Linked DNA regions of Danio rerio. The protein of the gene in region 1 binds, or shares a complex with, the protein of each later gene. Links are inferred from orthologs where the notes say so. Each region holds a gene or a part of one and is shown in the gene's direction. Other genes may lie near its edges.

Region 1 (4,550 bases):
ACAGAAAGACAGACAGAAAGATGGATAGACAGATAGAAGATTAGACAAACATACAGAAAGATGGAAAGACAGACAGACATAGACAGACGGAGGGACAGACAAAAGATTAGACAAACAAACAGAAAGATGGATAGACAGAGACATAGAAAGATGGACGGATACACAGATGGAGGGATAGACATATGGAGGGATAGACAGAAGGACAGAAAGATGGATAGACAGATGGCTAGAAAGAGAGAGATGAAGGGATGGACAAACACAGGATTAGACAGACCAGACGAACAGAAAAATTGATAGAAAAATGGACAAAGATGGAAAGATAGACAGAAAGATGGACAGACGGATGAAGACAGAGGAAGGGATAGACAAACCGACAAAAATGGAAAGACAGACAGAGAGATAGAAAGAAGGAGGACAGAAAGATTGATAGACAGAGGGATAGAAAGACAGACAGATGGAGGGATAGACAAACAGAGGGTTAGACAGATGGACAGACAAATGGAGGGATAGACAGATGGGCAAAAAGACAGAAAAATAGAGAAATAAACAGATGGAGGGATAGACGGACACAAAAATGGATATACAGATGGAGGGATAGACAGACGAACAGAAAGATGGATAGACAGAGGGATAGACAGATGAAGGGATAGACAGAAGGACAGAAAGATGGATAGACAGAGGGATAGACAGATGAAGGGATAGACAGAAGGACAGAAAGATGGATAGACAGATGGCTAGAAAGAGAGAGATGAAGTGATGGACAGACACAGGATTTGACAGACCAGACAAACAGAAAAATTGATAGACAGATGGACAGACGGATGAAGACAGAGGAAGGGATAGACAAACCGACAAAGATGGAAGGACAGACAGAGAGATAGACAGATGGACAGAAAGATGGATAGACAGAAACAGACGAACGGAGACAGATGGAGGCATAGACAGATGGATAGAAAGATGGAGGAACAGACAGACAGATTGACGGATAGTTTGATAGACAGACATATAGATACACAAATAAACAGACAGAGAGACAGACACACAGTCAGTCAGATGAGAGACAGACAGACAGTTGGTAAAACAGGACAGACACAGACAGAGAGAGAGTCAGTGAGTGCAGCATTCACCCAGTCTGGTCGCCGGTGTCCTGCGCTCCTCCTCGGCTGTGTCCTGCAGCTCCTCCTGCTGTCTGCGGGCCTGCTCCAGGATCCTCCGGCTCAGCTTCTCATCCACGAACTCCTGCTGCTCCTCCTGCCCGCGGCCGCGCTGCTTCTGCCGGCCGCTGCAGCGCACTGAGTCCCGCTGGAGGATCTGCTCGGCCAGGGGCACCGCGCCGCCGCTCCAGGCCTTCTTCACCTTCGGCATGATGACGGTTATCAATATTAGTATTATCTGCCTGTCTGTCTGAGGAATTATGAGTGTGAAATCGCGTCTGAACACATGACGCGCCGCGGAGAGCTGCACACACGTGGGTCTGAGAGCAATGGCGCTGAGAGTGTGTGTGTATACATAGATATATGTCTGTAGTGCTGCTCTGAGAGCAGTTGGAGAGATGAGCGCTGTTTTGGAGCGCGCAGAACTACTGATCCCAGAGCGGCGCTGCGTCACACTGTTTACTTCCGCTCGAGGCTCGGCAGATCTCGGCTCTGTTCATTTTTAGCGCGGCTAATGTTTTTATATTACATGAATTTAATGATTGTTAATATTTTTATTTTATCGAATTTAAGTGTTTTACTTTTACTGATTTCGCGTGTTTCACGCAAACTCGAGTGATCCGGAAGTAAATACCCCGGCTTGCGGAAGTTTGTCTCGAAGAAATGGGTGTAACGTGGTGAGAAACACTTTTGTTTATAAAGTATTGTCCTCAAATAATTAATATTTTCAGTTGTGCTTGTTTTGAGTCTCTCTGGTGCTCCTGATGCTCCCGTTCAGCGCTGTTTGAATGCACAGAGAGGCTTTTGCTCCTCATTCATCAGTCTATTTATTGCTTTATACATGTTTACATCACATGTCACTCTTAAAAGTACTTTACAAAACTGTTATTAGTGTTGTGTAGAACACAATGAAGGCCTGTTATTATTATCAGGTGCACGTGTTCATTCAAACTAACATTTAAGATGAAATATAAGGATATTTGACGAGGTTTTCCCGAAGTTTTGTATAAAAAAAAGTGTAAGATTATCAGCTTCATTTACTGCAAACATATAAAAAAACATTTAACAAGTTTTGTAGTTTACAAGCACTCATTTAAGTAGTGTTCAGGGAGTCCGCGGGGTCTTAAAATTTATTAAAGTGCCCATGAAATGAAAACTAGCCTTGTTGTTGTTGTTAGCTCACAGTGCTAGTTCTGTGGTGAATAATTCATCTGTGCATATTATTGAGAAAATGTAATAGTTTGCCCTTCTAATCTTTAATTGAAATCTGAAAATGCTCTTCCTGTTTGTTTTCAGTTAAATTATCAGATGGTGTGTTTTTGAGAGAGGGGTCTGGCTGCAGACCTGGTGCAGATGCAATCTGAGCTGCATCCAATACTTTAAGCTGTGCTTACACTGGGCTTTTCTCACCATAGACTTCATTCATACACGCGAATGCGTCAGACTGGAAACGCAGGGTCATGCGTCAAGTTTCGCAGGTCACTTCAGTGCAAAGTTCAACCTTGGTGAAGTCGGACCTGCGAAATCACATCACTTGACTGCGGGAGACCAATCGAGGATCAACATGAGCTCTCTGGACAGAAATGAAACACATGCAGCAATCACTCGCTTTATTAATGCCTAATCATCTTGTTTAATCCCGCCCCTTTTCGCAGCGCCGTACGGCGGACTTTCGCACACGCAAGCTCTAGTGTGACTGCAGCTTTAATGTGCTCACCTAACCCCACCCCTCAAAGTGACCTCACTAGCTCAATTGTGTCCGACATTGCATCACTAAGAGATGCAATCTCAGCTTGCATCACAAAGGCTGCATCCAGATACTATTGGTTTTAGGCAATGGGCGGGGCTAACATTCATAACCACGCCCCTCCAGCTGTCAGTTTTGACAACAAACAGAAATGCTGAGCTGGGGTCCGTACGTTGCTTAAATGATCTTGATGATTTGGCAGATCCTTGATCTGTTCATCTTGATAACTGATCTCTGGCTAATTTGGTTCCTCAAACAGGTTCGTGAATTAGATTAAAATGTCTGGATGCACATCTGAGATCAGCGTGTGTTGTGAAGGGCAGATTTATCCATCCCCAAAATCATGATCAGCAATGCAGCGATTGGCTGACGGCACAGCAGCGCAATGACATCATCTGATCAATATTCAATTCTCCATGTGAGCAAAATTATTTAAAATTCTTAGTAAACGGTTTGTTAAATATGACACACAATAACTTCCCATGTTTGTTGTGAGCTGCAGGCTTTTTTACACATTCATGTGTCAAGAGTATTCAGCAATTTATTTTATTGTTAGAGCAGATTTTCCTTATTACAGTCGCCATATTAGTATTATAGTAGCCGGTTTCTTAATTGGTATAAAGATTAACAGGATGTTTAAATTAATTTTGCATCACAAAAGCATTTTACTATTGGTAAAGATGTCTGCAACTTTTTTGAAGGCATTAAATCCCAGTCATATTACCGAATACCTGCATGAATGTATTATTCCTTTATAAAAAAAGGTTGCATTAATTTTCTCTTTGATCCACCAGGTGGCAGTATTTGTACTTTTATTTCGGAGTGCAGATTGCATAAGTTTTATTTATATATATTTTAACTTATATATATATATATATAGTTAAAAAATATATTTACTATTTTCCCAAGTGTATATAACTATATAACTACTGTAATAAAAGATCAGAATTCGTTACATAGTTTCAGTATTATCTTTGCTTGAACTGAACCGATCTTATCCTGTTTATATGAAACAAGCTGCTGCTCCCCAGCAGGTTTGAGCTACCAGAACTATTGATAGGACAACAGCTCTCAGATGAGTTTTGAAGAGCGTAACGATCCTGGAACATGTCAAATCGTCAATAACCAAATCCGTTATATAATAACTGAGTAATGCATGTACGAAGAACGGACCCCTGGGGTTTGGTTTTCATAGGTGAATTACTCAAGTATATCAATCTATCTATATAGCTAGATAGACAGACATTACACATATGCACACACAGACTCGCACAATTATTTTTATTATTTATTTTTATTGATGTTTACACTGATCAGAATGATCTTGCTTTAGTAAACTACCATTTTGAAACTGTTTTTAATTGTAAATAAATTAAACGTCTCAAATGTGTGTGTGTTTGTGTCAGTGTTTGTCAGGTGCCAGTGGCCGAGGGTAAGAGCGTCCAGCAGACGGTGGATCTTCTCCACAGGAAGCTGGAGCAGCTGGGAGCCGTAAAACAGGGGAACTTCTGGGTGGACTGTGAGACGTATCACGCTACGGGAAATGCCACCGGTAAAAACACAACTCTTGGATTACTTAAACCAAATTCTGTTACAGATTAAAATAACATGACAAAATGTGTAGTCAGTAATATAAATCAGTTAGATTA
Region 2 (3,771 bases), on another chromosome or scaffold:
AAACTATATTGTGAAATATATTGTTACCATGAAATTACATCCTACACAGTAAAGTAGAATCGTCACCCACCTCTAGCTACAAGTAAACCATTATTTTAATTTTACATTTGTTTTTTTAATAGGTGGTTTGCTCCATTTTTAGAGATAAAGCAAGTTGATTAAATCCGAGACAAAATCACAGTATAAATAAAAACTTATCAGAGACTAAGGACTAAGTCTTTCATCATCTAAACCGATTTATCAACTGCCAATTTATTCTGAATAGAACATGCTTCCAGTCAATTAAACAGTCAATTAAAACTGCACACATATTATGTTTTGTCATATTTTGAATCCCGTGACATTAAAAATGGTACATCATTTTAACCTTTTCCATGAATTGTCTTTTTATTTAATTAGTCTTTACCAGGACAGCAGCACTGTTATTTCCTAAATGGTGATGCTCCAGTACAAGATGGAAGGTCTCTTCAAGGAGCTTTGGTTTCCAAGATTCCCTTCAGACATCCTGCTCAGGTGCCTGCTCTCCTTGACATTATAAGACATCAGGCTGCTTACAACACGTTGATTGGCAGTTGCGTTAAAAAGGCCTGCATTAAGGAAGGTGGGTTTCTTTCATACTATGTGTGACTGTAGGTGTTTGCAAAAGAAAACTTCTATTTGCACTTTTTTAATCTGTATAGCCATTTTTGCACATTGCAAAAACCCTGCGCTTTCTGAATTTGCAGTGTACTTTTCAAGAAATGTATCGAGCTAAACAAGGTAACCACATACGATTTTGTTAGTTTCCGTCATTGGATTAAGGATATTAGCCCCTTTCACACAGTGATACCGGTAAATTTCTGGAAAATTTCCGGAAAAGAGCATTCACGCATCCATTCCAAAATACCGGTAAATTCTGACATCATTCACCACAAATGAGCTTTAAATGGCTGCACTTGTATTTGTAAACATTTGACTAAATTACAAACTCTGTGGATGATCAATATTGTGAACAACTTTCGCAGGATCACTTTCGTTTATCAAGATGTTCATAATATGTGCGTGTGCAGGCGCTCATAGGCGCACGCAAAGCTTGAAGGTAAACAAACAACGGCTTATCATAAGCATTTCATCGATGATTATTTACACAGTTGGCATTAAGAAGAACATATAAACGTGATCTGACTAACTTCTAGCAGCTAAATGTGTCTGGAAAAATATTCAAAGGCTTTTATCCTCACAAACCGCGCGGACGTAAATGCGTCTGACTGTTGTGATTGGCTAAAGCAGACGTCTCACGTCAGCACGCTCTAGACGTGCACGCGCTTATTACGTGAATCTTCCTTCTGCATTCACACAGCGCAGCATTCCGGCAAATTGCCGGTAATGTTAAAACTTCTCTTTCCGGAAAATAGCCAGAACGAATTTACCGGTATTTTCAAAAAGGACCTGTTCACACATACAACCTCTGTATGTGTGAAAGAGGCTATAGCCTAGTCTTTGCCAGTTTTTGTAATGATGATACATACATTATATGCTATTTATGTGCGCGGGGAAGTATAGGGTGGTGCGTTCAGTGCAGAAAGTCCAGGATTCATGCGTAGTGAGGTACCGTTCAAGGGTCGGGATGGGAGAGGATTCATTATGAAATCATGCCGGCCATCTGCCTCAACAGCATCAGTTGTGTACTCCTCTTTCAGTGAGCTGCAGCAGTCCCCTGATCGGCACAAGTGGTGTGCTGATTGGGGTGAGGGAGCCATCTCTATGGCAGTGCTGACTACACACTGACAGAAGAGTTAATCATAACACTTTTGACCAAGCCGTTACCAGTTTGATGACCTGTTGTCTCGTGTCGGTAGGAGGATTTTCCTTCAGGACACCAACTACAGGCAGTACTTCATAATCGCACCACTACTAGAGTAAGCTCCTGATTGGGTAACACGGCGTGATTGGTTAACATGGCGTGAACTTGAGAGATTTGTGGGAATTACACGTTAAGAGGACCAAACACTGAAATGCTCAGTTTCCGTTGTGTCATTTGATTGAATTAAATGCTTAACTCTTCATCTGATCTGCATCTTGTGTGAACACATCGTTAGAATATGGCCTTGAGTGTGGATGTTGCTTGAGTTGATGAGGTCTATGTGTGTGAATTTTTAGCAATATCATTGATCTTTGACCAACTACACTAAATTCAAATTGGATTATTGGCTGTGATTTTATTTTTATTTTTTTTATTATCTTTGTTTTAGATCCTGCCGTTGACAGTTTTCCATTATGTTCAGATACCTCTTTCTAATTTTACTGTTGTTTTCTAAGATCTCATTTACTGCTTGGTTCTTGCTAATATCTGGAGATTAAGATACCCGTTGGACAAACAGTATATTTTCTTTTCACATGTCCAAAAATCATATTCCAGGATAGACTTTTTTTTTAGTTTAGTCCAAAACTATTCCTTGTGTTAAAAGAATGAAACATCATAATACATCAATGTCTGACCATTCTGCAGTCACAATCTCTGTAGATCTAGCCAAAATTAAGCCTGGCTTTGTATTTAACAGAGCTGCTTGCTGAGTTTCTTAAATTCAATGACATCGGTGAGGTTCCCAGTTTATTGTTATGTGAAAGCTTAAAAGCAGTTCTAAGATGAAACGTATCTTATGAGTCCAGTTTTAAGAAACAAAGGGAAAACGTCTTGTAGAATTTGATAACCGGTTAGATATATACAGGGGTTCTTTAGATTTGGATAGGTTTAAAGAAATTACTACACTCAAAGTGGAATATAATTTAATTCTTTCTAACCAAGTTAACAATATGTTGTTACAAGTTAAACAAAAGCAATTTGAAATTGGGGATACACCTTAAAAATTGCTTTCTTGTAAGCTTATGGTAATTCAAGCCACTAGTGCTATCCATAAAAAAAATTAAAAACAGGGCTGATATTCCTTTAACAAATCTTACATGACCTGGCCCAGATGGCTTTAGTATAAATTTTTCATTAAAAAAATCCCCTTTGCTGTTAAGGATACTTAACCATTAATTTAATGAGCATAGGCTCCCCGAATCCCTTTCATGCGGCAAACATTTATTTAATTCTAAAAAATAATAATAATAAAAAAAATACTTGCTAATAGATTAAACTATTGCTTAGGAAAAAATATTCATCCTGACCAATCTGGATTTTTTCCTGGTTGTTTTTCTTTTATGTTCTCTTCTTTCTTTTATTTTTTTTAATGTCAGGCAGATAAGTATTTTGTACACCAAATCTGATTCTAAAATCAGTCTTTCAATTCTTGCATTGGTTGCAAAAAAAGCATTTGACCAAATGGAGTGCGACTATATCTTGTGATGTGATTAGAGAGTCTAATTTGGGTGACATATGCATTTTTTTGGGTAAGGATTTTCTTTTTACTTGATCATCTCAGTTCCAGTCACATAGAGGCACCTGTTGTGCTCTTTCATCACTGCTTTTTAAAATTGAGCCCCTCACCCTTGCTATCAAAAAAGAATCCCTTGATTTTGCCCCAAAAAATAGGTCAAATGAACCATAGTATTTCTCTTCATTCAGATGATATTATTTTATATCTCTATTCTCTATAACCCCAAACAATCTGCACCTCTGTTAATAGCTATTTAAGAAACATCTGGAAAATTCTCTGGATACTCATTAAACTGGCAAAAAATAAATACATTTTCACAGTGACTAATATTATTGATTTAAATGTATAAATAAATTTACCTATTTAAAATAGCCACAAATAGTTTAAAATATATTTATTTGTAAATATCTCT
Region 3 (4,232 bases), on another chromosome or scaffold:
CGATAGAGTGACAGTAATATTTATATGCATTTTATGCAAGTACTCTGACAGACCTCTGAATGTTTTGGGTATAATAATGTTTATATCAGCACCAAATTGCATATTTTTGCTCAGTTTATACATCTGATTACCGTAAACTTATTATCTTCCCAAGTGTGAGATTAATATTCTTACTATATTAGTCGTAATGAATGTCTTTCTTGTGTATGAAAAATTAAACAAATAAATAAATCAGTCACTTATGTATTTAATTATTTTATGCATTGTCTAAGATTCACTAAAGTGTTAAATTATAATATATATATATATATATATATATATATATATATATACATATATATATATATATATATATACATATACATACACACACACACACACAAACACATATATACATACACACACACACATATATATGCATGTATGTATGTATGTGTGTGTGTGTGTGTGTGTGTGTGTGTGTGTGTGTGTGTGTGTGTGTGTGTGTGTGTGTATTTACATTATCAGCAATCATCACCTCATAAATATCAATGTAGTCCAGTTTATAAACAGTACAAGCAGTCATAAAACCCAAATACACTAGAACAATAATAGTTAGCTATATAGAGGTAAAGTCTGTTTTATATTCACATATTCAGACTTTCTCCTCAATAAGGTAATTTCAGAAAAGTAATGTTTACAAATTCTAAATAGGGAAATCATTGTCGATGTTGTTTTGAAGTCATCCTTGCCTGCTAATGTCTATCGAATATTCAAAGTAACGTTAACGTTAACATGGTAAACAATACAGAGACTGCTAAATAAACGAATGTGCGACTATAAAAGCAACGTTACCTCTATGTTAGCTATTATGTGGTAACAATAATAGGGTTATTTCAGATTGATATATTGACCTTAAATCAGTACACGAATCGATCACTAATTGATCAGCATTTCATTCTTAGGATTATTATTTCAGATTGATATGTCGGCAGCTGATTCACTCTACAAACACGAATTATTTGTCACATGTGTGCGTTTAAAAGGGATTATATAATTAATTAAGCGTGATAAGTAAGATATTTTGGGATGTTTGTGTTTATTTAGCGTAACGGTGAACTTTAGATCAGTTGCAACATCATATCAATCACTAATTGATTAGAAATACATAGTTGACATGATTGATTTCGATTCATATGTCGCTAAATGAGCTGAGTCACACTTTAAACAACTGTTATTTGCCACATATGTGCGTTATATAGGGATTATATATTTTATCAAGCGTAATAAAGAAGGTATTAGGGGTTTAACGTTACTCACTCTCATCCTGAGCGCGCAGTGAACCGACCCACGACAAGACGAGCAGAACCAAACATTCTCTCTTCAGTGGCATTTTCCCGGATCAGTCCAGTCCATAAACACGCTTTAGCAGAAGCATTTACATTCGGCAGTCATGTTGAAGCTTCACATCCAGCCTCCGGAAGTGTCAAGCACTCCTGCTTTGCGCGAAAATGCAACAACTTTTCAGTAGACGAGCGCTTTCGCTGTACGCTGCGCTGTATCACGTGATGTAGCATTGAACGCGCTCGGCGGAAACGGAAACTGTGAAGAGGAGCCAACATGGCCGACAGGCTAACGCAGCTTCAGGATGCTGTGAACTCCGTAAGACTCATTTAACGTTTATTTTATACTTCAGAAACTGCAGAACACAGCAAATGTCTTCCGAACAGATTTACTTAATAGTCTGGTTCATTAAATTGGATTATTTGCTTAAGAAGTCATGTTGATGTACTGTAGCGTCTGAAGTGTTAGCATAGCGTGCAATTTGTGAACAAATGAACAGGTGAAGTTTGTTGTCATATGTGTTTTGATACTGTAATAAATGTTTTACTTGTTATAAATAAAACGAAACTGAAAATAATAGTCCTATTATAATCTAAGTAAGTGTATATAAAAGGCACCGTTATATAATTATAATATAACATATAATATATACATACATTTCTGTAAGTGCTATTGTTACTTATATATTGGTGAAGTACACTTAAATATTTCTTTTTTTGTGTTCTTCAAAGTGCAATATTAATTATTTTTAAATTGTTTTAAATTAATGTTGTTTAATCAAACATTACATGTAATTGTGTTTATTCATATATTACATAATTCACAATCTTAGCACTGAGTACTAATACTTCTCATCATGTCAAAGAACATGTAAACTGAAAGTAACAGTGGATTGTCCTGCATGTCTGATTTACTGCATGTCGTGTTTCAGCTGGCGGATCAGTTCTGTAATGCGATTGGAGTTCTGCAGCAGTGCGCACCACCGGCCTCCTTCAGCAACATCCAGACGGCCATCAATAAAGACCAGCCCTCAAACCCCACAGAAGGTGCTCTCATCTGCACTGATCTGAATGTGATCCACTTTGAAAATAATGTGTTTTGAAGTTGACATACTAAGATGTGTTTTTTCTAGAATATGCTCAGCTGTTTGCAGCGCTGATAGCAAGAACAGCAAAAGATGTTGATGTGCTGATCGACTCTCTGCCCAGTGAAGAATCCACTGCAGCCTTGCAGGTACATTTATTATATACACACACACACTGTATCACTGGCCAACACCACATTATTATTATTGAATCATTATATAATTATTGAGCCTTCTGCTGTTTAAAATATGGTTGTTCTGCACTTCAGGTTTTGAGTTCTGGCACTCAAAGAGAAGAAAATCAACTGTAAATTATATTGTTGCATTAAAAATGAATCTCAGCTTAACCTGTGCATCTCATATCCATTTCTGGAGAGCCACTGCTTTGCACATTTTGAGTTATGCCTACATAATGGACCTGATTATAAATATCATCTTGCTAGAAGAAAGCTCCAGAAGCTGCACTGAATGTACAGAGCAGTAGGAGCCCAGAAATGGATTTGAGAAACACTGAAATATACCATGACAATAATACACAAATGACCAATTAGCTAGATATTAATCATATTACAAACTTGATTACTGTTAATTGCTCATCCCATGCCACATATATTGCACATCTGGCTCTGTGCTACCCATGTTGTCCAAGTACAGAGTGAACAACAATACATTAGCATTATACCTCGTCTCTACTTGTTGTCATTTCTGATGCGTTTCTTAGGCCGCCAGTCTGCGACAGCTGGAAGAGGAGAACCAGGAAGCTGCAGCGCGTCTGGAGGAAGTGGTTTACAGAGGAGACGCCCTGCTGGAGAAGATCCAGACGGCACTAGCAGACATCGCCCAATCACAGCTCCGCACCCGCAGCGGAGCCCCGAGTCAGCAAACACCTCCAGAATCCTGACAGAAAAAAACCACAACATGAACTATAGTGTCGGGACACAGCAGGGATTTTATACGCATCCTACATCGACTGCAGGAGACTCACTGTTTCACATCGGTTTCTGGACTAAAGAAAGCTGATTTCCCATCGCATGTCTTTATTGTGCGACCTCTGTTTTTTACCTTGTGTAATGTTCATCAGCGTGTTACTACCATTAATAGTCAGCTTCTGGGTATGTTTTGTAAATTAAATGTTGTTTTTTTCCCTCACCAGCATTATGCTGATACTCTTGTTTTGAAAGAAGTTATGTTTAACAAATAAAAATATATTGTATGACATGCTTGTTTTTATTTTTAACTTTGACCTGTTCAGGGTTTAACGCTATGGATTTTTTCTACTGGTCCGATCGGGCCAGTGGTTCAGATTTTTACTTGCCCTGCCAAATTTTTTACTGACCCCACCAAAAATAAAAAAAGAAGAGAAAAAAAAGCTAAGATGATAGCTATTTTTAGCCACATATTTTAAATAATGTGTCAAAAACAATGTCTGTGAATCTCGAATTTCAATACTTAAAGATGCTTTAATAAATAATGAGCAAAATTCAAAGTGTTATGCAAACAAAAAGAGCAGTATGGAAAATGTGCAGGTTTTTTGCAGTTCAAAATCTATTAATAAAAGGTGGTTGACTTGTTAAACTGACGGCAAATTGTGTTAAACATCACTTCATTTTGTTGTTGTGTTGTTCCTACGTAAATATCTGCTTCCAATACATTAGAAACAGACATTCTCTTTAAGCCTTCTAACTTGCTGTTGCTGTCATGTTGCTGTTTCTTTGCTGTACTGGTTGTTGCTAGCGGTCCGTTATTCGCACATGGATGACTCCAGTTTAGCTGGGTTTGGTTATTGACGATTTGATATGATCAAGGATCGTTTAATTCTTCAAAA
Region 4 (4,238 bases), on another chromosome or scaffold:
GAGTTTTTTTAGTTGTTATTATCTCTCTCATTACAAATGAACAATGATAGCAAATGTTTAAATGTGGCTTGAAGCATTTTGAGCCAGAGAAAGAGGCCAGTGGCACTTGTAAATCTCAGTTTATATGTGTTTTCCATCAGATTTTTATTTTCACTCTCCGTCTTTTAATCCTGAAGTCTTCTGAAATGGCAATAATTATTTTTTAACATTAATAGATATACATAATTCATATCAAATTCACATTGTTTAGATTACTAGAATGGACACTTTATTTTTCTCCCAGTTAAACAGCCACTTAATGAGTGAGTTTTAGCTACTTGTAGCGTTCAGAAAAAACGAAATACCCATGAAGATACTCGACACAGAGGAACATAACCTACTGCCAGCAAGTGTACGGAAGTGTTATTGCAGAGCAACACAAACAGCATGTATACAGTAGTATAAATGCACGACTACCCGCAAGGCAGGCACCGTGGATCACTGCGATCACGCAGAAGTATAAATCAGCCATTTTAAAAGGGATTTTTGCACAATTGGTCCCCTTTTAAACAAGATGTAGACAGCATATTTTCTAAAGCAATCTAAATGTGTTCTTTGAGCTTCATCTTTATAGTGTTGGTTTGTGTTGCAGCTTCCTGAGCAGTACAGACTGATGCACATACAGCCACCAAAGAAGAAGAGCAAACACAAACACAGACATCATCACCCTCAGGATCCTCTACCGCTAGGTCACTTCAAAAGCTCATGGATTTTCACATTTTATTTCCTCTGTGCACCACATGCATGTTAACTTCCTTTCCCTGTGCAGAAACCCGCACTGACCCCACCAAGAAGAAGAAAAAGAAAGATAATGAACCTGAACGCAGGAAGAAAAAGAAAGACAAGAAGAAAAAAAAGGTGAGCCACTTTGTTGATGCGGCGCAGAATCTTACAAATTTACAATAATTAAAAAGTGTATTGTTGAACAAGGTTGAATGCTACAGGATGTTCCTGTATAAATAATAATGCGTTATTAAAATTTTAAAAATGTATACACATAGGAAGCAGCTTTGCTTTGGTGTAACATCTGAGCAGCCTTGAACAATGCTCTTTATAATTATTTATCATTTTTGCTTCACACAAATATTATTTCAACAGTAAACTGTGTTTATTTTACATTTAAAAGGATGTGTAAGCTTAATGAATGCGCCCTCTTTTACATGAATATTTTACACTAATATAGTTGTGCATATATACTTTAGATTAGTCAGTACTAAAGCTAAGACTGGAACTGATCTAACAAAAAGACTTAACATCACGGTCTAAAAATGAGACCAGCCAAATTAATTAAAGGTGCAGTAGGTGATTGTCTACAGAAACATTTTTTGATGTGCAGGTTGAAAGTCTCTTCACATTCCTATAGTAATGATTAAATTAAATGATCTAAATGTATTTACATGTATTTTTGTATTCTGGGTAAGTCATAAGACTAAAAAATGTTAATTCCCATAATTCTGATAAGTAGCCCAAACTGTCTGTCAACAAATGTAGACTTGTACATCTGCGCTGCTATTCGTGCAAATCTGCCGTTTGTGTGTGCACGTGCGTTCACGTGCACATGAGAGAGAGCGCGACCAGTAAAAACAAATGCTGAAACAAAACTTTATAATCCTGAATCAATATTGAAGTTAGTTTTTATGCTGGAGGAAGAACGAGACCATGGCTGAAGTATTTCTTTTAGACAGGTCATGTTCTGTTTTAAAACTATTAAGTCACACAAAGCTGATGTAGATTCTGTTGTTTCACGGATGTGTTATATGCACGAAAGTGTAATTCCTGCACCCGCCAGCCAACCACTAAGCATACAGTAGTGGCTTTAGGACAAAACGTGGGAGAGAGTGAGACCAACGATCCTTGTATGGATGAAATATTGCACATTATGACAAGTTTTGCTTGCTACACGACTGAAAACATGCTGGATATAATACAGTATTTTGTACTTTACAGTAATAAAGTATTGTAAAGTTTTTCAACTGGCGAATGACAAGAGTTAGTGGGCTGTCTACTGTCATCTTTGCAGTGCGTGTTTGTGATTTCAGGAGGCGTGGCTTTGAAAAATAGGGGTGGGACTGTTTTCTAAGATATTATGCTAACCGGTTAGCATTTTGGCAGATCACCTACTGCACCTTTAATGAGAAACTTTTTGTACAAATTTTCTGTCTCTCTATTCCTGAATGCGTTAGGCGATTTAATTTAATTTGAATAAATATAACAGTTTGATACAACACCAAAATATATTGACGATTCACAGAGAAATTGATTAAAAAAAATAGGAATTTTCCAAAAGGGTTGCAACTCATTTATGCTTTAAACCGTATGCATGTGTGTGTGATTTAATTTTTTTTCTTAAATTTATTTGAATAAAATCATTGTTTTTATCTTTTACTAAAACTAAATAAATTTTCAAACTTACTTTAGACATCTTGCTTCTCAATAAATGTGTCTTGATTTAAGTAACTGATAAGTTATTCACAATAGGAAACAAGACAGTATTTTGCAGTATAACATTTTATAAATAATATTAAAATATAACACATTAGGGCTGCACAACATATTGTTTCAGCATCAATATCACAATGTGATCATTCGCTATAGTCACATCGCACATTTGCATGTGTTTTTGATGCCGCTGATTGTATAAATGATTTTAAAAACATTCAGCTATATGAAATTGTACCATTTGTGACTTTAACAACAATTAATTTTTAATTATTTTTTATTTTTATCATTCAAGTTTTACTTGAATACTGTTAGACTCACACTTTATTTGTATTAAAACACTTTATTTGTATCTTTTTCTTGATTGTATTTATAGATTGTTGTGCATGAAAATACTCGCAACACATGCAAATACAGAAATGCACTGCAAATAGCACAGACCACAATGAAAATGTGCCAGAGGACCCCAAAAATGTTAAAAATAGTAATTATAAGAATCTAATTTTATAAATTATTTCCAAATAGAGACAGTCATCTGGTGAAATTTTATTCATATTGTAAAATATATTGCAGAGATATATTTTTTCCAATATTGCGCATCCCTATAACACAATATTAAATGCTCAATGTTAGTGGCATTCAAAATCAAATCGATGGTCTGCACAGTGTAGAATATGTCCCTAGAATCTACTTGATACCTTAATTATGTTGTAGAATAATTACTTGTTTATTGCTGGGACCTGTCACATTTAAAGTACACCCCATTTAGTCTTGTTAATGCATTTAAAAGGTCTTGGTCTGTTCCCTCTTTTCTTTTAGAATCGACACAGTCCTGATCATCCTGGTGTTACTGGATCTCAACCCAACAGCAACAGCCTGAGATAGAACAGTTGTGTGTGTGCGAGTGTGCTTGTTTGTATGTATGTTTGCACACATGAAGTGATGTTGAACTGTGTTAGAGAATCTGATATGGACCAGTGCGGTTGATTGATGTTTACAAGGGCCAATTGTTGATGATTTTTGACTTCTTTTTCTGGTTATGATGAAAAGCTCAAGGAATAAACTTTGTTATTCTTTATACAGTCTTTAAACACACTCTTTCTTTTTTGTTCACAATAACAGATCATAAAGTGTGCCAAGAAAATATCCCCCACACCATTACACCATCACTAGCCTGAAGTTGTTGATGCCACATTCTGACCATACCATTCGAATGTCACAGCAGAAATCGAGGTTCATCAGACCAGGCATAGTTTTTTCCAGTCTTCTATTTTCCATTTTGGTGAGCCTGTGCCAATTGTAGCCTCAGTTTCCTTTTCTTAGCTGACAGGAGTGGCACCCGGTGTGGTCTTCTGATGCTGTAGCCCATTCGACTCAAGGTTGGATGTGTTGTGCGTTCAGAGATGCTCTTCTGCATACCTCGGTTGTAATGAGTGGTTATTTGAGTTACTGTTGCCTTTCTTCCATCAGTTAGAAGAACCAGTCTGGCCATTCTCCTATGACCTCTGGCATCAACAAGACCACAAAACTGCCACTCACTAAATATTTTCTCTGTAAACCCTAGAGATGGTTGTGCATGAAAATCCCAGTAAATCTGCAGTTTCTGAAATACTCAGACCAGCCAGTCGTGATCCGTTTCCTTGCTGAAATAGTTTTTATTAGCATTTTACTAATTATTTTTATTGACGGTGCTTTAGTACTTAAATATTTAAACATTTTCACTGAAAAGAAAAAAAAATCTAAATTTCATTAAAGTTGAA
Region 5 (4,252 bases), on another chromosome or scaffold:
GTGCGGCAGGGCTGTTAGTCAGTATTAGGGCTGCACAATATATCGTTTCAGCATTGTGCGCATAAGCAACAGTCACATCGCATGATATATGCAATGTTAAGTCTAAATTATTGTTGACCAGGAGCCACAGAACACATGCGGTTTGTTGAGTCACTGCTAAGTTTAACCATAATACAGTGAAAGTTTATCATTTGCATGTGTTTTTAAAGCCTGTAAAAGTACATTACAATAGAGTTTAAACATTGGGGAACAAATGTTATGATGTTTGGAGGTGTAACAAAGATTATATGTATTTATTTATTTATAATTCATGCAAAAAATGTTTTTTTTTACTTACATTTTAGTTTCTAGTCCAAACATCTACTTTTCAAAGCGATGCTGAAAAACCTGTAACCATGAAAGTCAGTGGTTTCAGCTTTAATCAAAATATGTTGTTTATTTTTTTATTTTTTTTCATAGAATCACTTGATGGTAAGTAAATAGTGAGTAAATGTTCATTTTGGGTGATCTATTTCTTTTTACATTAACATTAAATAAATTGTCGGCTTGTTGAATAGTTTGAATTTGAATAGCTTTGTTGAATAGTATCTTGAGATCATCTGATCTAAACTAAAGGCCTGCAATTATATGGTGTGGCCAGTGAGGCGCTGTAGCACAAGACTGCTATAATTCAGCTCTCTCTGATGCAATAGACTTGCTGCTTTGGAGATTATGGCTCAATTCCAAATGGCACAATTCAATGTGGTCCTGCGGACTTAAAATGGCTGCGTGCCACTTAAGAAGGGTACTCACAAGCCCCTTCTTTGTGGCACTGTATGCACATCAGCTGAGACCAGGGTTTTAATCCACATTTTGAAGTATAACAACAGTAACCAGAGATTTAAAGCAACAACACTAAACTGCAAAAGAAAATATGATGGCGTTGACTTGTGGGAAAAGATGTATACAATCTGATCTGATGTGGTAAGCAGTAAACACATGTAACTAATGGGCTATATGCACAGCTAGCGTTTTCAGCCACTGCTAAACTTCCGGTGAAGGGTTAATGTGACTATTTTAAAGCTTATAAGGTTCCTTTTACAGCATCAACATCTTAATATAATTAAAATACAATCAGTTAAATAATCTTAATCATTTATTTAGTTGGTCAAACATGAAGCCAGATGAAAGACATTGAAAAATTGATGTAAAATACAATTTCATATTTTAAAGAGATGGCAGGCAAAAATGGAATTTTATGTGCTTCATGTCTGGTCTTCATGACCCATTTTATGTCGTATATCAAGCAGGCAGTGAAGATCACTTATTTGTAAAGAAATCAGATCTTAAACGTAACGATTTTGTAATGAAAAGACCAGGCTGGCTGGCTAATAACTAAAAGTCTGTGTGCATATAGCCCACTAGCTGTTTCACTAGTATCTGTACATAGAATTAGTTTTAGCAATTGTAAGCTGCATTGCACTTCAAAAAATGCATTTCTTATATATATTTGTCTTGTTTCTAGTCTAAATATTTCAGAATCCTTTAATTAAGAAACATTTTTTAAAACTGTGAAATTTTGCTTAAAACAAGCTAAATAATCTTGTTTTTAGTTTTGGCAATATTGTTTTTCTTAACCCGTTGGCAGATATTTAGCTTGTTTTAAGGATATACTCACTTAATTTTCAATTCAATTCCTGTTTATTTCTATAGCGCTGTATAGCAATATAGATTGTGTCTAAGCAGCTTAACATAGAAATTCTAATAAACTGAAACTGTGTCAGTCAAGTTTTCAGAGTTAAAGTTTAGCTTAGTTCAGTTCAGTGTAGTTTAATTTTCACTGCTGAACTTCCAAACACTGAAGTGCAAATCCATCCATGAACAGCTCCACAAGTCCCAAACCAAGCATGCCAGTGGTGTGGAACAGACTTCACCAATTGACGAAAGTGAAGGGGAAAAAAAACCTCAGTTGGCCACTACCGTTTCACCTCTGGCCAAAGTTCAACTATATTTTGACATATTATTTTTTAAAACAAGACAATATGTTTTGCTTGTCAATAAAATGTTTCTTGATTTAAGAATTGTTGATTTTTGAACTAGAAACAAAACAAAAAATATCTAAGTATCTAAGAAAATTAAAAAAGAAAGGTAAAAGAAAAGTTAAACTAAAAAATAAATTAAAAACAAGTTTTGTTTTGTTTTTTGCATCTTGGACATTTTTATAACTTTACAACATTTGTAAATAATGCTATATGAATATCCCAAATCAAACAAAAACTGCTCAGGGGTAGCTTAAATAATGTGTTGGTGCTCTTTGGGTAAGGGATTCATAAGGGAGTTGACAGAGTTTGCATGAGCTCGGGTTTTATCTCAGATTTGCATATATATGGAAGTCTTTGACTTGTATTGAAAAAGAAACTGCTTTGCAACTGCTAAAGAAATAATTTCTATACAGTATGAATTACTGCTTCATTGTGATCATGTGATTTAGCAGAATCAGTTGCATTGCTTCTCTGCTTTCACAAATTCTCTTCTGCGGCCTCATGTTGTATTAAATGTGTCCTAATTCACTCGACTGAACTAGTAAGTCATTTTAGCAGTTTTAACCTACTCTTTTATGAGTAGAGTGAAATAAAAATAATAATTTCTTTGATCACATACTGCTTTGACATACTATATAGTGGGAAAGTAAGCGATATTTAGATGCAGCCATGTAAAGTCTGATCTATGAAGTTTGACTTGCTTTTATATGCCAGCCTCTCTATGTACAGCAGGGTGGTATGCAAGGCATGCAGGGGATGCATCCTATCCAGCAGATGGTCCATGCAGCACCAGGAGGGGGCGCTCAGATGCAGCCTCAGTGGAGACAGCCTCACCAGGGTAACGCTTAATTTCCACTACAGTATCATTAGCACCATTTATTTTTATCACATCTGTGACCTTGTTAATTGTGTAAGAGATTGAATTTATTTGCTGTGGTTTATGCTTCATTTCATTTCCCCCCCAAACTTTGTAGATTTATATTTCACATTCCCACAGGTCCACTAATGGTCCCGACGGGTCCACGTGGTCCAGTCACACAGAATCCAGGGATGCCTTCGGTGTCGAGCGTCATGGAGGATGAAATTCTTATGGATCTAATCTAAGGACTGTTTTCCCATCATTCTTTGCTTCAGAGGTTTAATTACGGAATATGAAAGTCATCATCTTTTTTACTTTTTGTTAGAAGAAAGCGTGTAGGGGAAGAAGGACTTTATTTTCATACTCAAGTATTCGTTGATGCTTTTACACACAAACTTATCACCGTATCATGTAAGCGGTTCATATGGAGGAACTGGAGGAAAAGACATTTACAAAAAATTAGGTTCCACTTTGAAGACTCAACTACTCCTCCCATTCATAAATGAATGAATCAAATCCGGTTACTACTGTATTTTTATGAGCATTTTACTTTCTTTCGGTTTTACTTTTTTTATTATTTGTCTTTGAGATCTAGCATGTTGTTTTATGAAAATTAAATAAAGTTAATTTTCTCAAGCAGCTTTTTTTGTGTTAAAAAGTCTCCTAAATGGGCAAAGTGTTCCCCATGAATACAAAGGAAGATGTTTTGAATAGTTCATCTATAATTGAAGTCACAGGGACACAAAACTGCTCATTTATCTGTGTAGTTAGCAACATTTTTCATAACTGATTTTTTTTGTATTATGTAGCCAAAAGCATTTGGAATGAAACAAGTGGGATTTCAATCAGGGGTTGCCAAACTTTTCAACCTAAAAATATCAATGCCGGTGACTCGCGTTTAGGGCTTCACAATTCTGGCTAAAATAGGAATCACAATTTTTATTTATTTTTTTGCTTAAAATCAAGATCACGATTTTCTCACGGTTCTGTAGATGTAAAATAAAGGTTAATAAGTGTAGGCTATTATAATGTTATTCTCAATCATATGGTTAAACAACAACAATAATAATAGTAGGCCTTTGTGTAGGTCTACTGGTGGTTGTATAGGTGTATAGACTTGGATTGATGAACTTGAACATTAACATGTCCTGGTTGTGAATTCACAGTAAGGTGATGATTTCAGAATATTCATAATTCATAAGATAAATTATTGTGTTTGAGACATTTGCTTGTCATTTGACATTGACCACAATGTTAAACCATTTATTATCAGATTCCCTCTTGCATAATATTAAAGATCATATAGGCTAGAGTAGTTATATTGACCCTTTAAACATTTATTTTCATGCTGAACACTGTGTTCACTATGAAT
Region 6 (4,478 bases), on another chromosome or scaffold:
TACTGTTAGCATTTAACACTGTTTATGACAAACAGCACAGGAACGAACAACTTTAAAACGACACATCTTTAAAAGACCAACTTATCTAATGTGTTTGAGGCATTTATTCGCCTATCTGAAGGTGTCAGACTGATAATGTGTGTAAATAAATAAGGACTGACAGAAAAACACAGCACTCGGAGACACACCTTTGGAGCTGGTAACAACACCATAACTGTCTCGATTACAAACACTACTGCATCCAAACGTAAGTAAAAGACACATAATAGTAAATTACATTCATTAGATGTCGACAGGAAGCATTACAGTTGAGCTCATCTTCAACAGCCAGCGATGTCATGCAGCCCTAAGATGGCACGAAACTTCAAAATAAAGGTCTCCACATGTCGATTTATTTTCAAAATAAACGTCACAGTGCATTTAATGTTTTCCACAATAAAAGTTACTCGACTGCTTTGCGTTCATGGTTCATACCATTGGTTCATACGTACGTACTGCATGTAAATGGTAAATATGCATGTTTAAGCTATTTGGAAATAATATGATATGAAATAATAACAATTATTAAAACAATATAATTTTTGGAAAATATGCTTAACGTGAGCTTATAAAACTAGGTATTTATGAGAAATGCACATAACTAAGAAAATGCTAGAAAAAATAAATAATAAAATAACAATATAATAATAATAAATGATGATGATGATGATGATAATAATAACAATATTAATAAAAAAAGTCCTGCCAGTGCACTGAAACGTATAATATACTTAAAGTAACTTCCCTCATTGACTAAATTTTGACACAAAATATAACTTCATTCATTCATTCATTCATTCATTCGTTCATTTTCTTTTTGGCTTAGTCCCTACAGGGAGGGACATTCAACATGCAAAATCCAAACAAAAACGCCAACTGACCCAGACGAGGCTCGAACCAACAACCTTCTTGCTGTGAGGCGACAGCATTACCTACTGCGCCATATGGAAAAGTATACCATTTACTGTCTTTTTCTTTCTTGTATTTAATTAACCAATTAATTTTGAATGTATTGTTTAAAGTTTTAAAAAATGAACACCGATAACCCACCATTGCATTTTTGTTTACACATAATTTTCCATTTTAAAATAGTGATTTCCATTACTCCATAAAAAAAAATATATTGTATTTTAGGAATAGCCTAATTATTTCTTCATGTAGGACATGTTCCAGGATAGATGTCACTCCATGATTGCATTGGCAAAATCACACCCACCTCTTAGAGCCATTAGTTTTTCTGCAAGCAAACACCTTGACTTGAATTTGATCAACAGGGCAATCGGCTTTTCGCAACCATAATTGATGTTCTCCTGCTATTAATAATAGGCTAATAATACTCAATTTTAATACCCATTTTATATGATAAAGAGTTCACTTCAGTCCAGTAGGTGTCACTAAATGCACGCCTAAAAGAATAGAGCAAGCGTTGCACAATGCGCATGCGCAGTACTCGCTATCCATACTGCGCATGCGCTTTACTCACATGGACGCAGTTTCATCGAGACACATTATTTTTTCGTAGTATTTTACGCAAATCATTAGTTTTGTTTATTGCTTTTTGATACAAGTACAATATATGCTATTTTTAATTCATCGTCTGCCTGCTTTTTGTTGATAATATCTTCTAACACGTCTTAGCATGTCTATTGTTGTGGATGTTTTCTACAGCAGTTAAAGTTCTAGTTTAAGTTAATCTTTCAACTGATCGTTGACTGTAAATGTATTAAGAGACTTAAGTTCAGAATTATAATACTAGTAATAGTAATAATAATAGAGTGATGGAGGCTCCGCCGGTTACTGTGATGCCCGTCACGGGTGGAACTATAAACATGATGGAGTATCTTCTGCAAGGTAAACAACACCATCAGCACAACTCCTTTTACCATTCATTCATTCCTATTTATCATTTGTTACACTTTATTAAATAGTTTTAACTTAGTTTTTAAATACCCATTATGAGCAATCTCAATTTTTTAATTAGCAAAGTCATTTGAATAAAGCGTTGAATATGTTAAAGTGAATATGTAATTATAAACAATACACACACATTTTCTAGCGTTTTAAACTATTTTTATTTAACGCACCCTAATCTTCTTTAATTCCTTAAGACTTTTAATTTGGGATTCTGTATAATAAAAACATGTACTACAGTATTACTTTATGAATGTGCTAACGTTATATAAAACGAATAGTTTAGCATAATAATAGTATGTATACAATGTATTCATTGTAGTGTTTGTAGTATTATAATTTACAATTGTTATAATTTAAATTATACAATTATAGCATGCACTGTGCTACACGAGAGTTCTTTTTGCTGAGTCTTATTGTTTGCATAATATAGTTTGCTTATTTGGTCATATATTACCATTCCTACTTAAACCGTTACCAGATTTGTGTGTGTTCGGAGTAAATACATTTTTAACAAAATTATACAGCTAATTCATAAAGTATAATCAATAACACTTTCAAAATATGGTCTCATTAGTAAATCTTAGTTCATACATTAAAACAAAAAGCCACAGTGAGGGATATCGACATTTATTACAGTTAATAAGTTAATGTAAGTAAAAAAATACAACTGAAATGTATTATTTAATAACTAAATTTATTAAAACAATTACATCTTTTTTTTAGTGACTTATTAAGCATTAACTAAGAAATTGACACCACATTGCGAGAAATTGTGACATTACTTGAGACAAATTAGTCACAATTACAATTTTATTTTTATTGATGTATAGGAACAGGCTTAAATTATCTATCTATCTATCTATCTATCTATCTATCTATCTATCTATCTATCTATCTATCTATCTATCTATCTATCTATCTATCTATCTATCTATCTATCTATCTATCCATCCATCCATTCCCCTATCTATCCATTTATCTATCTATCTGTCCGTCCGTCCGTCCGTCTGTCTTTCTGTCTGTCTTTCTGTCTGTCTTTCTGTCTGTCTTTCTGTCTGTCTATCTATCTATCTATCTATCTATCTATCTATCTATCTATCTATCTATCTATCTATCTATCTATCTATCTATCTATCTATCTATCTATCTATCCATCCATCCATTCCCCTATCTGTCTGTCTGTCTGTCCGTCTGTCCGTCCGTCTGTCTATCTGTCTGTCTGTCTGTCCGTCCGTCCCTCCATCCGTCCCTCCCTCCATCCATCCATCCATCCATCCATCCATCCATCCATCCCCCATCCGTCCATCCATCCATCCATCCATCCATCCATCCATCTATCTATCCATCTATCTATCTATCTATCTATCTATCTATCTATCTATCTATCTATCTATCTATCTATCTATCTGTCCGTCCGTCCGTCCGTCCATCCATCTAATCTTCCATCCATCCATCCATCCATCCATCCATCCATCCATCCATCCATCCATCCATCCATCCATCCATCCATCCATCCATCCATCCATCCATCTATCTATCTATCTATCTATCTATCTATCTATCTATCTATCTATCTATCTATCTATCTATCTATCTATCTATCTATCTATCTATCTATTTATGCCCCTAATCTATGCATCCATCCATCCCACCCCCTATCTATCTATCCATCTTGACTTGGCTGTGTTCTGTTGGTTTGTTTGGCACAGGCAGTGTACTGGACCAATCTCTGGAGAGTCTCTTGCATCGCCTCCGGGGCCTGTGTGATAACATGGAGCCTGAGAGCTTTGCTGATCACGAGTTGGTGTATCTCCTGAAAGGTCAGCAGGGCAACCCGTTCATCCTGCGTGCCCGCCGCTCGCTCCTCGACCCCTCCGTCCCCTGGCACCTGCGCTATCTGGGTCAGCCCGAGGTGGGCGACAAAAGCCGTCATGCCCTGGTGCGGAACTGCGTGGACGTGGCAGCCTCGCACAGCTTGCCTGACTTCCTCAATGAGATGGGCTTCCGCATGGACCATGAGTTCGTGGCCAAGGGTCAGGTGTTCCGGAAGGGTGTGATGAAGGTGGTGGTGAGCAAACTGTCGCGTGTGCTGGTTCCTGGAAACACGGATAACACGGAGCCGCTCTCTCTGTCGTATCTTGTTGAGCTGAGCGTTCTGGCTCCTGCGGGACAGGACACTGTGTCTGAGGACATGAGGAGCTTCGCAGAACAGCTCAAACCTCTCGTTCACCTGGAGAAGATTGATCCCAAAAGACTCATGTAGAGAACATGACCTACAGACTGAGATTTTTAATTCGGTGAATAGGTGTTAAGACTGCATTTATTTGGAATATTTTTGATGATTGTTTTCTTTTTTTGTAATTGATGAAATGCTAATTAAAATCTTTAAATAAAAATATTCATTCATTCATTCATTTTCTTTTCGGCTTAGTCCCTTTATTAATCCGGGGTCGCCACAGCGGAATGAACCGCCAACTTATCCAGCAAGTTTTTTACGCAGCGGATGCCCTTCCAGCCGCAACCCA
Region 7 (3,771 bases), on another chromosome or scaffold:
TACTTGATTCAAACCTTTACTTGTTTTCTTCTGTTAAACACCAAAGAAGATGTTTTGAAAAAAGCTGGAAGCCTGTAACCATTGGTTTATATACAGTTGAAGTCAGAATCATTAGCCCCTCGTTTGATTTTTGTTTTATTTTTTAAATATTTCCAAAATTATGTTTGAGCAGAGATAATATTTAGATAGTAGTTTGTCTTGTAATATTTTTTTCTTCTGGAGAGGTTTGCTTATTTGCTATATTTCGGCTAGAATAAAAGCAGTTTAAAATTTTTTAAAAACAATTTTAAGGTCAAAGTTATTACCCCCTTTAAGCTAATTTTTTTTTCGATAGTCTACAGAACAAATGACCGTTATATAATAACTAGGCATGTTATTATAATTGGGCAAGTTAACCTAATTAACCTAGTTAAGCCTTTGTCACTTTATGCTGTATAGAAGTGTCGTGAAAAAAATATTTAGAAAATTATTATTTACTGTCATCTTGGCTAAAATAAAATAAATCAGTAATTAGAAATAAATTATTAAAACTGTTATGTTTTGAAATGTGTTAAATAAATCTTATCTTCGTTAAACAGAAATTTGGGGAAAAAAATAAACAGGTTGGCTAATAATTCAGGGGTTCTAATAATTCTGACTTCAGCTGTAGTACTTGTTTTTCTAACTATGGATGTCAATGTTTACAGGATTTTATTTTCAAAGTGTCTTTTCTGTTCTACAAGATAAAAAAATAATAAAGTTTTGAAACTTCTTGGGGGTGCGGAAATAGTGAGTAAATTTTCATTTTGGGTGAACTATAATTTGTTGGTAACACTTTACAATAAGGTTGTATTAGTTAATTTATTTAGTAACGTAATCAAACAATGAACAATACATTCATTACTGCATTTGTTCATGTTATAGGTAACATTAGTTAATAAATACAGTTGTTCATTGTTAGTTCATGTTAACTCACGGTGCATTAACAAACGTAAACAAGCATGCATTTAGATGTCACTAATACATTAGTAAATTAATAAATGCTGTGCAAGTATTGTTCATAATTAGTTCATGTTAGTAAATAAATTGCCTAATAAAACCCTAAAATTGTAAAGTGTGCCCAATTTCTTCTCTATACTCTTTAAAACAAGATACGAACTAATTTTTTAAAGTCTTTTAGACAAAATATTTTACAAATAGGAAATCAAAATCTAAAGCTTCAATAGCTTAAAGCTTAATTTTACACTTTTGTTACGACTAGTCTGTCACTTTCACAAAAAAAGGAAGAGCTAGAAATGAAAGTTGGTTTTATTTATAAAGTAAACCGAGAAAGGGAAGTTAACAGGACTTGATTTATTAAAATCTGCTTTGATGGCTATTAGAACTTAGTACTCATTTCTGTTTTGTGATTTCAACAAAGGAACATCTTTTTTTGACGATAAGAACAGACACACTCAAAATAACTGATGTTGTGTTCTGTAGGTGACCGTTCCATAAGCAGTTCACTGTCTGCCTCTCAGCTCCACACCGTCAACATGAGAGATCCTCTCAACCGAGTGCTGGGTTTGTGCTCATTTTCTCCTGAATGTATAAATTAAATATCATATTCGCAATCTTGCACCTTAGTACCATAATCATCATAGCATCTCACACTCTTACAGACTGTGCCATTTAGTCAAAAACAATTCTTATGTTTTTTTCCCCTTTCTAGCAAATCTCTTCCTGTTGATTTCCTCTCAGTTGGGGTCTAAGACAGCAGGCCCACACACGCAGTTTGTTCAGAGCTTTGTTGAGGAGTGTGTGGACTGTTCAGAGCAAGGCAGCCGCAGCAGCATCCTGCAGTTTATGCCCTTTACCATGGTGAGGCAATCATCTTGTGTGCATGCTCAGCACACACACACATAGAGAGAGAGAGAGACAAACTTGAAACCTACTTTGGATAAAAGCCTCTGCTAAATGTAGAGCTACAAATGCTGCACGCAAACACACATGAAGATAATAAAAGTGGTGAAAACATCAGTTAAGAAGGCATCTGAATATTTAGTACCAACTGTACAGTGTGAACCCAGTTAAGATTATTTGGATGGAGGCAAATATATGAAGAATTCGGATACAAAGACCGCTAAATGCATTTCCGGCAAAAACTAGATAATGACATTGCTTTAGGCACGTAGTACATGTTCAACAAAGAGTTTTGTTTGAAATGATCTAAATCCCAGCGTCAGTGCATTTAGAAATAACAGTTTGTTTGCAAAAGCCGCTAAAGGCCACTTGCCTTTGACAGCAAAAGCCGATATATCCCGAGAACCAATCAGAAGGCGTGAATCGAATCATATGTTTTCAATATAGCAGTGCGCTGATACGCCGGCTTTATGAGTCTGTTTCATTCCGCTTTCGATTTTAAAAGATGAAGCTTGATGAACTGGATGAGCCTCTCCGACTGTCAGTGAATGGCAAATAAAAGTCCTGTACTTCAAAACTCATAGGAAAATGGAAACACAATATACAGTTGGAAGTGTAACATGCATTCATAACGTTTGTTTGCGCTGCGGCGCTACTTTAAATGGGTCCGATTTACTCTTACTGCATTAAACACCAACTTCATTTCATGAAATAAAGTTAAGATGCTGTTCTTTAATCCCGCGTGGATGCTATGAGGATAAACAAGAGACCAAAAAGATAGCAAGATCTTGAGTATAGTGAGGATAGATAAATGACAGCTCCTGAGAGACATCCTCTTTTTTTTTTGCACAGTAGGTCTACCTTGTGTTTTATTTGCTAATGCAAGCTATGTTTTAAAAGATAAATATAATGTATGCAACTATACGTTATTTCTATTACTTCAACAAATTCTTTTCTTTTCTTTAGTAATGGACAATGCACAGATATTGATGTGTCACAATGTTTTACACTACATTATTTAAATCTAACAAGCTTGTTTAAATTGCTCTACTTGCATTTAATCCAAATCCCAAATATCAAAAATGACAACAGATTGTTAAGATTTAATTATTGTCAATTTTAATGTTATTGATTAATGCACTTACTTGACAGATATAATTAATTCAATTCCTTCTGCTTAGTCCCTGGTTTATCCAGGGTTACCACAGTGGAATGAACCGCCACTTACATGACAGATGTATTTTTAATTTCAGGTGCTTTGTGTAATGTGTTTCATGTTTGGTAAAATAATTTCTAATTGTATCTTCAGTGATTTTCAACTAATTACACTGTCTTGTATCAATAGGTGCATTTAGAGGTTTTTGCATAAAAAGCACTAGTGGATTTAGCTGGTTTTGATGCAAAATAAAATCTACCTTGTTAAAAACCAAAGAATTGTATAAAGTGATATTTTTGAAAAACATTTATTTTATTTACCAGCTAATAACTTTATCATTACATATAAAATGAACGCGCTCATTTAAAAGAAAAGAGGTCTGATGGATTTAGAGCAGGGGTGGGCAAACTTGACCCTGTAGAGCCGGTGTCCTGCACAGTTTAGCTCCAACTCTCATCAAACACACCTGCTTTTAGATTTTGAGTGATCTTGAAGACACTGATTAGCATGTTCAGGTGTGGTTGATTAGTGTTGGAGCTAAACTGTGCTGGACACCGGCCCTCCAGGATCAAGTTTGCCCATGCCTGATTTCTAGGGTTTTGCATCTGAACTCTTCATCTTTTCATAGAATTGTAAGTCATGCATGTGTCTATGTTCTCTTGGTTTGTGCTCAAATTGCAGTAATCCTGATGAACAAAATAATGTTTATGTTTTTAACAATTATTTTTGATTTT

What was found.
Region 2: med20 (region 1) and med1 share a complex: the UniProt entries of both Homo sapiens proteins name them as parts of the mediator complex. The link is inferred for Danio rerio from reciprocal best matches to the Homo sapiens genes MED20 and MED1.
Region 3: med20 (region 1) and med21 share a complex: the UniProt entries of both Homo sapiens proteins name them as parts of the mediator complex. The link is inferred for Danio rerio from reciprocal best matches to the Homo sapiens genes MED20 and MED21.
Region 4: med20 (region 1) and med19a share a complex: the UniProt entries of both Homo sapiens proteins name them as parts of the mediator complex. The link is inferred for Danio rerio from reciprocal best matches to the Homo sapiens genes MED20 and MED19.
Region 5: med20 (region 1) and med25 share a complex: the UniProt entries of both Homo sapiens proteins name them as parts of the mediator complex. The link is inferred for Danio rerio from reciprocal best matches to the Homo sapiens genes MED20 and MED25.
Region 6: med20 (region 1) and med18 share a complex: the UniProt entries of both Homo sapiens proteins name them as parts of the mediator complex. The link is inferred for Danio rerio from reciprocal best matches to the Homo sapiens genes MED20 and MED18.
Region 7: med20 (region 1) and med24 share a complex: the UniProt entries of both Homo sapiens proteins name them as parts of the mediator complex. The link is inferred for Danio rerio from reciprocal best matches to the Homo sapiens genes MED20 and MED24.

The regions. Positions count from the first base shown.
Region 1 is NC_133197.1:573,739-578,288, forward strand, and holds the start of med20 (mediator of RNA polymerase II transcription subunit 20), read left to right. Parts: upstream 1-1,591; 5' UTR 1,592-1,817; coding exon 1,818-1,831; intron 1,832-3,160; exon of another isoform or gene 3,161-3,319; intron 3,320-4,307; coding exon 4,308-4,453; intron 4,454-4,550. UniProt on the Homo sapiens protein: Component of the Mediator complex, a coactivator involved in the regulated transcription of nearly all RNA polymerase II-dependent genes.
Region 2 is NC_133187.1:16,874,028-16,877,798, forward strand, and holds part of med1 (mediator of RNA polymerase II transcription subunit 1), read left to right. Parts: intron 1-399; coding exon 400-601; intron 602-3,771. UniProt on the Homo sapiens protein: Component of the Mediator complex, a coactivator involved in the regulated transcription of nearly all RNA polymerase II-dependent genes.
Region 3 is NC_133179.1:2,082,771-2,087,002, forward strand, and holds med21 (mediator of RNA polymerase II transcription subunit 21), read left to right. Parts: upstream 1-1,554; 5' UTR 1,555-1,599; coding exon 1,600-1,641; intron 1,642-2,254; coding exon 2,255-2,369; intron 2,370-2,455; coding exon 2,456-2,556; intron 2,557-3,128; coding exon 3,129-3,308; 3' UTR 3,309-3,623; downstream 3,624-4,232. UniProt on the Homo sapiens protein: Component of the Mediator complex, a coactivator involved in the regulated transcription of nearly all RNA polymerase II-dependent genes.
Region 4 is NC_133189.1:26,390,745-26,394,982, reverse strand, and holds the end of med19a (mediator of RNA polymerase II transcription subunit 19-A), read left to right. Parts: intron 1-631; coding exon 632-728; intron 729-808; coding exon 809-897; intron 898-3,297; coding exon 3,298-3,363; 3' UTR 3,364-3,556; downstream 3,557-4,238. UniProt on the Homo sapiens protein: Component of the Mediator complex, a coactivator involved in the regulated transcription of nearly all RNA polymerase II-dependent genes.
Region 5 is NC_133178.1:29,240,296-29,244,547, reverse strand, and holds the end of med25 (mediator of RNA polymerase II transcription subunit 25), read left to right. Parts: intron 1-2,750; coding exon 2,751-2,859; intron 2,860-3,018; coding exon 3,019-3,125; 3' UTR 3,126-3,519; downstream 3,520-4,252. UniProt on the Homo sapiens protein: Component of the Mediator complex, a coactivator involved in the regulated transcription of nearly all RNA polymerase II-dependent genes.
Region 6 is NC_133191.1:7,708,700-7,713,177, reverse strand, and holds med18 (mediator of RNA polymerase II transcription subunit 18), read left to right. Parts: upstream 1-1,551; 5' UTR 1,552-1,817; coding exon 1,818-1,890; intron 1,891-3,662; coding exon 3,663-4,216; 3' UTR 4,217-4,363; downstream 4,364-4,478. UniProt on the Homo sapiens protein: Component of the Mediator complex, a coactivator involved in the regulated transcription of nearly all RNA polymerase II-dependent genes.
Region 7 is NC_133187.1:11,197,282-11,201,052, reverse strand, and holds part of med24 (mediator of RNA polymerase II transcription subunit 24), read left to right. Parts: intron 1-1,461; coding exon 1,462-1,542; intron 1,543-1,690; coding exon 1,691-1,839; coding exon of another isoform or gene 1,840-1,884; exon of another isoform or gene 1,885-1,924; intron 1,925-1,974; exon of another isoform or gene 1,975-3,674; intron 3,675-3,771. UniProt on the Homo sapiens protein: Component of the Mediator complex, a coactivator involved in the regulated transcription of nearly all RNA polymerase II-dependent genes.